Caenorhabditis elegans: one gene and its partner. The protein of the gene in region 2 purifies or fractionates together with the protein of the main gene of each other region. This does not show direct contact. Each region holds a gene or a part of one and is shown on either strand. Other genes may lie near its edges.

Region 1 (4,547 bases), on a different chromosome or scaffold from region 2:
CAGAATTCCAGTGGCATCCACAAAGTCTTTTGTGGATTTTTTGCACATTAGCCGGCACACAAAACGGACGGATTTTGGGCCATCTGGGTCGTGCATAGCTAGGAATTTCATGCATCTGACGCTATTTTTGATGGTCTCGTCGAGAATTCGGATTGCGGTTACGGTAACCTCCTCGTTTTCCGATGCGTCGTTGATTAGGTTCAGGACGAATGGAACAAGTGCGCCCTGGAAATATGGAAAAATTAGAATTTTTTTTTTGGGTATTTTTGCAGGAAAATATTCAAATTCGGGATACTTTGATAAAATTAAAATTTTGAAAAATAATTTTTTTTAAACTGATTTTTTAAAAGCTAAAAAGTTGAATTTTCAAATGTTTCTACAAAATCGGAAAATTGGCAAAAATTAAGGTTTTCTCGTTGTAGCAAAATAAATTTTAAAAATCTACAAAAAATTACAATTTTCAGTTTAAAAAAATTTCTTTAAAAAAATTAAAATTGAACTTTCGACAATTAAATTTAAGGAATATCGGAAAAATTTAGATAAAAACTGCAAAATTTTTCGAAAAACAATCTGAAAATTGCTCTGAAAATCTAGAAAATTCAGTTTTTTTTTGCATTTTTTTTTCAAATATACGGTATATTTTTCAATTTATTTCCATTTTTTAAATTTTTTTTTAAGTTCCATTAAATTTTCCCAGTAAATGTAGATTTTTCGTCCAGCTTCCAAAACTATACCTGATTCCAAACTCCTGTTGCTCCGGATTCAGATTCTCTGCACAAAACCAACAAGTTGTTCAACGCAGTCATTTTCTGTTCGGTGTCCTTCGCCTCACCACGGAACGCTAGCTTTTCCATGTCAGTTACCTGAGAAAATTTCGGGGTTTTTCAATGAAAATTCATTTAAAATTCGTGGTTTCAGGTCACAAAACCAACCTTATTAGCCAGTGAAGTGGTCTGCTTAATCTTATCATTGTTGGCTTTTACGAGACGCTGAAGAACTTCAACAATTCCTCTGAAAAATAGAAATTTGAGTGAAATTATTGAATTTTTAAGTGCTTAAAAGTGGAATTGTGAGAAAATCTTGGGTCTGCTAAATATTTAGCATACCCAACTTTGGTCTGCTAAATATTTAGCATACCCATCTTTGGTCTGCTAAATATTTAGCATACCTATCTTTGGTCTGCTAAATATTTTTCTTTGGGTCTGCTAAATATTTAGCATACCCAACTTTGGTCTGCTAATTATTTAGCATACCCATCTTTGGTCTGCTAAATATTTAGCATATCCATCTTTGGTCTGCTAAATATTTAGCATACCTATCTTTGGTCTGCTAAATATTTTTCTTTGGGTCTGCTAATTATTTAGCATACCCATCTTTGGTCTGCTAAATATTTAGCATATCCATCTTTGGTCTGCTAAATATTTAGCATACCTATCTTTGGTCTGCTAAATATTTTTCCTTGGGTCTGCTAAATGTTTAGCATACCTATCTTTGGTCTGCTAAATATTTTTCCTTGGGTCTGCTAAATATTTAGCATACCCATCTTTGGTCTGCTAAATATTTTTCCTTGGGTCTGCTAAATATTTAGCATACCCAACTTTGGTCTGCTAATTATTTAGCATACCCATCTTTGGTCTGCTAAATATTTAGCATACCCAACTTTGGTCTGCTAAATATTTAGCATACCCAACTTTGGTCTGCTAATTATTTAGCATACCCAACTTTGGTCTGCTAAATATTTTTCTTTGGGTCTGCTAATTATTTAGCATACCCATCTTTGGTCTGCTAATTATTTAGCATACCCATCTTTGGTCTGCTAAATATTTAGCATATCCATCTTTGGTCTGCTAAATATTTAGCATACCTATCTTTGGTCTGCTAAATATTTTTCCTTGGGTCTGCTAAATATTTAGCATACCCACCTTGGGTCTGCTAAATATTTAGCATACCCTTCTTTGGTCTGCTAAATATTTAGCATACCTATCTTTGGTCTGCTAAGTATTTAGCATACCTATCTTTGGTCTGCTAAATATTTTTCCTTGGGTCTGCTAAATATTTAGCATACCCAACCTCCTCAAATTTTGAAAAAAAAATTTTTTCGCTGATTTTTTAGCTGCAAATTTGAAATTTCCTACGTTTTTCTTCAAGATAAATTTTTAAACATGTTTTAGTGGATTTTTCAGTTTCATTTTGCATATTTTTTCACAGAAAAAAGTGAGAAAATTACAAATTTAAAACTAAATATTTAGAAAATTTATAAATGTTGGCATTTTAAACAAAAATTGTGAGTTTCTGTAGATTTTTAAAAGTTATTTTGCTATTTTCGATGAGAAAACCTTGATTTTTGTCAATTTTTCTATTGGCATGCTATATTTCGGAGAGAAACGTCTGAAAATTCTAATAATTTTTAGCTTTAAAAATCAGTTTCGGGAGGTTGGGTCTGCTAAATATTTAGCAGACCCAAAATTTGCAACTTTTGCATTTTTCACTGAAATTTGGTCATAAAAACTTTGAAATATAACTGGAAAGTGCCAGAAAAAATTATTTTTCTTTTAATTTTCATCGGTTTTCGCCTAGTTTTTCCACGCACTTATCATTTGGCGAGAGCCTCAGAGCCTCTTTTGCGTCTTGAAAAGCTGGCCCAACATTTCCAAGCTGTTCACGAGCCAGCGATCGTCTGAAGAGAGCTTTTACATCGGCCCCGTCGAATTCCAGAGCTGTAAATTTAGGTTTTTCAGCAAATTTTCCAGGTTTTTTGTAAACCTTTCGTGCAATCCGATTGTGCTCCTTCAAAATCGTCTCTTTTCAGCCGAGCCATTGCTCGATTTCTGTACAAAACCGGCCGAAGAGCCTTGTCTTCGTCAGTGGTGAGTTGGAGAGCTTCAGTGTATCTGGAAATCAGTTTAATTTCAGTTTTCCACTGAAATTTCAGAAAAACCAACAATTCATCAGCTTTTATATAATCCTGATCCTTAACTGCAGCATTTCCCTCGTCGCGGATCTCCTCCGCAGTCTGTACTCGAGCAACCATTGCTGAAAACCAAAAAAAAAAAACTATAAAATCATTATTTTTGTCAGGAGATACTATTAATTCGACGGATAAAAGAGGAAAAATCGACAAAAATGGTGTAAAACTGATTAAAATATCATTTTTGAAACTAATTTTCAAGAAAAATGCACTTAAAAGCTGTTTTTATTGAGTTTTAGAGTAATTTTCCCGAAAAGTTTCCCGCAAAAAAAAATTAACAAAAAAGGAAAAATGCAAGCGCGCTCCACCGGCACGTGTTAGAGAGTGTGAAGCGCAGACTATTTTTTGGAGGGATTTCAAATTTAATTTTTATGAAAACTTTGATTTTAAAGCTAAAACTAACGAATTTTGGAGATGTATAACATCCTAAAATTGACTTTCTTTTCTTTTTTTTTGAAATAAAAATTTTCACTGCAAGAAAATTTGTTAATGTCCTGGAAAAATGAATGAAGAATAACGGTAAAAAATCCAGTTGCCGCGGGAGCTCCGCCCAGGTGCTCTGGAGCTTTCGAAAAGCTCCCAGGCGGGAGAGATATCCTAGGGAATAGAAGAGAAATAGAGATAACGAGTGGGAAAAGTTCGGGAAAAGTCGAAAATATGTGGGGTTTCTGGAAAAATCCGAATTTATATAGTAAAAAAAATATATTTTTAGGTTTTTTTCAGGGGATTAGAGGATTTCAGAGAAAAAACGGAATTTGAGTGGATTTAAACAAAGGAAATCATCATTTCAGGATAAACTCAATATCCCAAATGGGTCTGCTAAATATTTAGCAGACCAAAGTTGGGTATGCTAAATATTTAGCAGACCAAAGTTGGGTATGCTAAATATTTAGCAGACCAAAGTTGGGTATGATAAATATTTAGCAGACCCATAAAACATCGTTTCAGATTTTCGTCATGAAAATAATTATATGGGCAACCACAAGGAAAATTTTTTCTCAAAAACTACGGCACTCGGATTTCTCAAAAACTACGGCACGAACCGATAAATTTTCTTGAAATCAGAAAAACGTGTGCCTTTAAGGAGTACTGTAGTCGTCAACTCCTTCAAAATTTCTGGTATATTTAAATATATTTTTTCACGTGGAATACTAGAGTTTCTAAATAAATATGTACTGCCGTGAGGCTCTAGTGCTATACCCGGCGGCTATGGGTCGGCTGAAATATTTCTGGAATTTTTGATATTTTTTTTTCGGAAAAAATCAAAATAAAAATTTCATAGTATTTACATTAAAATAAATTATATAAATTCAAAAAAAGGACCTAAAATTCATAAAAAACCTAGAAATTCTTAGGTTTACTAAACCCACTAAACCCGAACTTTATGCAAAAATCGATGAAAAACGAATAGAAACGTCTGTTCAGCGGAAAGGGCAGTGTAGTAGTGTCCGGCCCCCGACGGATAGTGTAAAATTACGGCGGAATCCGCAGATCCTCTCCGGTGGTGGGAGCCCTTGCTGTTTGAATAATCTGTCTGCGTCTCTCTTCAGATCTTATAACTTTTTGTGTGCATGCACTG
Region 2 (4,776 bases):
TAAAAAAACCTGCGTTTTCTCACCTTCGTACGTATCCGTACGTCTCTCTAACTCGATAAATTCTTCCTCAGCTGCACGTTTAACATCTCTCCCAGGCTCACGTCTACGCATCCTGTATTAATCATTTTAGAAAACAGATCAATAAAAAAATAAAATAGTGACAGCATTTTTAAAGCGAATATACGAGATTTATACGAACATGTAAAACTTTTACTATTTTTATTCAATGAACACAGAATTCCTTGAACTATTTAGCTGATCTTGTAAAACCTTGGATTAAATTACAGAATTAAAAAATAAAAACCCGTGAAAAATGAAGGTAATGTACCGGCAAAATTTTAAACACATAAAAAATAAGAAATTCGTGCAATAATCGGTGGAATGTTGTCTGAAGAGCCGCCGTTCTCAATCCAGCGTTTCGTTAGAAATCTGTAAGTGCGAAAATTGTAGATCAAAAAATTTCTTAACTATTTTGATCTACAAAAACCACTTACTGGACCATTTTCTCATCACAACTTGTGTTGGCAATGTCCATCGTTGAATCTTGTTGTGAAGAAACAGTCAGAAAAAGTATTGTTTTGGGAACTGGATATTTTCCGTGATCTGAGAACGCATGAAGAACAAGAACTGCATCCCATTTTAGCAGGTCTACATCCAAAATCACAGCTGTTCGAGGTGATGATTGTGAAATAAGAGCGGGTCCGAGGACTGAAATAATGCATTATATTTTCAAAATTCAGCGAATTTTCACATTACTTTGGAGATGTTAAAAAGTTATTTAAACATAAAATATTATGAGGTTCTGAAATCACTCACTTTCCTGCAAATTCGCATGCAACTCGGCTCTATCAGTGTCACTTTCCACTCTAATTGATGATTTTCCTGCCGTAGTATGCTCATCACTTTTAGCATCTTGAACAGCTCGATTCACAGCTTCGGCAATTTGTTTGGCCGGTGTTCCCCCAACAAGAACAACCAACGGAGCATGATTTTCTGGTTCCAAATAGATTTTCTGCCCGATTAGTCTTAAGAGATCCCGATTTTCTTTCGAAATTGTAGGAAACTCGTTCTTGATGACAGATCGGACTGATTTGATGTAACTTTCATACGATTCGTTAGTCTAGAAAATTGTTAATTATTCCGATACCGCGTGTAGTTTTACCAACCGTAACTTTGCTTCCTTTAATCAATGCTCCCACAACAATCGCAATGAAAACTATTCCAATAACAGTCCAGTATTTCCATTTTTCATTCACTTCGTTACATGACACATCGGATTCTTCTGATCCATGTGAGCTACTGAAACTCAAATCCGCATCTGTGAAATCATTTTCATCTTGTTGCTCGCTAGTCTTTTCGGTTCTTGCATTACTTATTTGTTCAGTTAGATCAGGATAAAGCCTTGATGAACTATCGAGACTCCTACGTTTATTCGATGTTGGTATGTAATTGGATGGAGTTCCATATGATTTTCTGGTTTGCACCATACCCTGAACTAAAACGAAAATTGGAGCAGAATTTGAAAAAAAAAAATTAAACTGTTAAAAAAAAACATAAATATAAAAAATTGCGGCAAAAAACAAATTTTGGCTTGGAGCGAGTACACCGCAAACACCGCAAGCTTAATTTGCACACAATGCGTCAGAGCTTACGCGCAACTCTATCCGCATCATGCTTTTCAAAATCGATTTTTAGAACAATTTCCGCTTATTTTCAGCGTTTGCAGCATGTCAAGCGGCGCCGAACAACATAATACTAATGGCAAAAAGTGTTATATGAATAAAAGGTATTTTCATTTATGTGTAATAAATCCCATGTCTTTGAACTTTCAGATATGACGATGCCGTTGATCACTATTCGAAAGCCATCAAAGTAAATCCTCTGCCGAAATACTATCAGAACAGAGCAATGTGTTACTTTCAGGTATTTATACTTCGATTAAAACTTTTCTTTAACTTTTGTAATATATATTCTAGCTTAACAACCTCAAGATGACTGAAGAAGACTGCAAACGGGCACTGGAACTGAGCCCAAACGAAGTGAAAGTAAGCTTTCAACTCTTGAAGTTAATTAGTTATTCAATTCATTTTCAGCCTTTATACTTCTTGGGAAATGTATTTCTACAGAGCAAAAAGTACAGTGAAGCAATAAGCTGTCTCTCCAAAGCGCTCTACCATAATGCTGTTATCACGGTAGAAATTTTTGAACGGCGTTTATTAAAACGGAATTGTGGTTTCAGAACGCTCCAGATATTGAGAACGCCCTCAAACGGGCACGCCATCAAAAGTACGAGGAGGAGGAGTCAAAGCGAATTGTACAAGACGTTGAATTTCACACGTATTTGGAGAGCTTGATCGAAAAGGATCGTCAAGAAAATTCTGAAAACCCAGAGGAGTTGCAAAGAGCAGATATGGCTAAAAAACGTCTAACCGAACTCACTTTAGCGGTAAATACTTTTTCTTGAAAGTTTTTTGAAACTTTAGTAATACTATTCCCAAATTCTTATATCTAAGCGTTTCTAATTCGAACCAAACGAGTTTCCGAATCCTGCCAACTTTTTTCAACCGGTTCAAAATATACTTTCAGAATTAAGCATACTAAACTATCGTGAGTGTAATATTTCCTAAATCACGAGAGATCAAAGAGAATCAAAATATCATTTTTTAGACACAAGAAAAACGGCAAAACAGGGAGGTTCCTGAGATGCTCTGCGGCAAAATTACACTGGAACTGATGAAAGAGCCGGTGATAGTTCCATCTGGAATCACGTATGACCGAGAAGAAATTGTGCAGCATTTGAGAAGAATTGGCCATTTCGATCCAGTCACAAGAAAACCACTTACCGAAAATGAAATTATTCCGAATTATGCACTGAAAGAGGTTGGAAATTTATACAGGGTGGGCCAAAAGTATGGTAACACGTTTGCAGCTCTATAACTTTACTAGTGGAAAGAGTTACTACATCAATTGTTACAAGTTTTGTTCTCCATAAAATACTGACCAGATGAACGTTTTGAATTTTCAAAATATTCCCATCCGCATCGCTGCAGGCCTTCAGAACTTTTGAGATCACGACCTTTATGGCACGCAAGTCGGCATTCTGCGGGATTTCTACATTTTTCTCGAGGAATCCATCAAGTGCCTTACAAGTTTTTATAGTTCAAAGAATGCTCTTGGTCTAGAGATTCTATAAAAACAAAAATCCAAATAATTTCTATCACGGTATTTCTGTCATGGACTGCGGCAGTAGGTTAAGTCTTGAATGGCATAGTCGCCAGAAAGATGGATGTGAGCGGCGAGTAGCAGTATGCAGAAAAATTCATTTTAGTATTTTTCGAGACGTTTTGACCTGACTTTCCAGAATTTTTTTAGAAAATTGAGCTCGGATGATTTTGTGGGACGTTACGCCTTGCGAAACCAAAAAAACTGAGTAAATTTCGCAAAGTTGAATTCATGAAATATTCAAAGGTTCTTGCTAGGCGCCAGTGTCGACACAGAAAATTTTTATATGCCACAAAAACAATTAAAAACGCTTCTTCACTTCTTTAACTTTAAATTTAACATAAAAATCATACATCTGAAAATTATTGGCGTGCATGGGAGGTGTGTTTGTGTGGGAAGTGCCGCGTGCCAAATTACCGTTTTTTCGAAAGGGTTCGCCAAATTGTCGAGGTGATAAAGATCGCACCTTATTGGGAAACATTACAAATTTTGAGTCAAATTGAAGGAAATTTATTCAGCTATCAGTATTCGATAGAAGAATGTACGTATGACGTGGCAGTCACGCGAAAAGCTCATGTAAAAGAGCGCTTCATGTGTTACCATACTTTTGGCCCACCCTGTAATAAATTCAGTTAATTTCTAATGATTTTCAGGTTATTGAAAAGTTTCTTGACGACAACCCATGGGCTAAATATGAACCCGGAGGCATGGTTTAAATACTATTCAGAATATTGAAAAATTCAACATTAAACATTCCTGGCTGCTTCTCAATGCAACTTCTTCACTTTTCTACATGTTTCAGTTCTTTGCATTTTTTTTTCGGATTTTTAAACTTTTATTGTTTGAACGCTGTACCCTCCTTTTCTGTTCTACCGGTATTTGTATCTTGGTGTATTTTTTAGCTTTAGTTTTCTTTCAAAATTCCATTGAATTTCTGGTAGAAAGTGCACTTCAACTTGTCGCTTAGTTCTCAATTTTACTGCTAAAAGTGAGATTCTGTAAATATTGTATGAAATAAAGAGGTGTGATGCTTTTCTTTTCATTTTACAATTTTTTTTATACCAATAGGAAGGTCTATAACCTACTATCTACGTGACTTTGTAAATAAAATAAATAAAATCGGGAAGTTTTCAAAATTGCATCACTGGGAGTGCGGGATTGCGGAGTGTCGTTGTGAAATTTAGACGGCATTTTTTTCCGTTTTTTCAATTTCGAAGCTGTTTAAGCTGAATTCTGTTCGAAAATTTGTTGAAATAAAATGCAAAAAAGAATTTTTGTTCACAAAAAATGGTTATTTTCATTCTCCGGGCATTATTATTTTTGTTTGCAGAGTTTTAGAATAACTGTTTAAAAATCCTTGATGTTTAGATCTGAAAAGCTTTCAATGGTTCAGAAGAAATTATAATTAAACCGAAATTAATTAATTAAATTTATTATTTGAATATTTCCCGCACAAGTTCCATTCTTGCCTCTTCTTTATTGAACTTATAATGTGAAAAATTATTCTTCAGATGTTGTCACGAATTTGTGGAAACGGGATACGATTAACTCGGA

What was found.
Region 1: the proteins of chn-1 (region 2) and unc-45 purify together in Caenorhabditis elegans (affinity purification with western blotting, with the first as the bait; one study listed by BioGRID). This does not show direct contact.

What each region holds. Positions count from the first base shown.
Region 1 is NC_003281.10:490,033-494,579, reverse strand, and holds the start of unc-45 (UNC-45/Cro1/She4 central domain-containing protein), read right to left. Parts: upstream 3,034-4,547; 5' UTR 3,032-3,033; coding exon 2,943-3,031; intron 2,892-2,942; coding exon 2,764-2,891; intron 2,718-2,763; coding exon 2,591-2,717; intron 2,174-2,590; exon of another isoform or gene 1,745-2,173; intron 1,012-1,744; coding exon 933-1,011; intron 864-932; coding exon 735-863; intron 226-734; coding exon 1-225.
Region 2 is NC_003279.8:6,180,798-6,185,573, reverse strand, and holds chn-1 (E3 ubiquitin-protein ligase CHIP), read left to right. Parts: upstream 1-1,717; 5' UTR 1,718-1,727; coding exon 1,728-1,786; intron 1,787-1,832; coding exon 1,833-1,923; intron 1,924-1,976; coding exon 1,977-2,045; intron 2,046-2,093; coding exon 2,094-2,192; intron 2,193-2,239; coding exon 2,240-2,446; intron 2,447-2,667; coding exon 2,668-2,880; intron 2,881-3,875; coding exon 3,876-3,938; 3' UTR 3,939-4,260; downstream 4,261-4,776. Other genes in the region: GPI mannosyltransferase pigv-1, read right to left, coding at 24-111; T09B4.2 (Torsin-1B), read right to left, coding at 339-429, 495-708, 817-1,120, 1,167-1,487; putative mitochondrial import inner membrane translocase subunit tin-44, read left to right, coding at 4,734-4,776.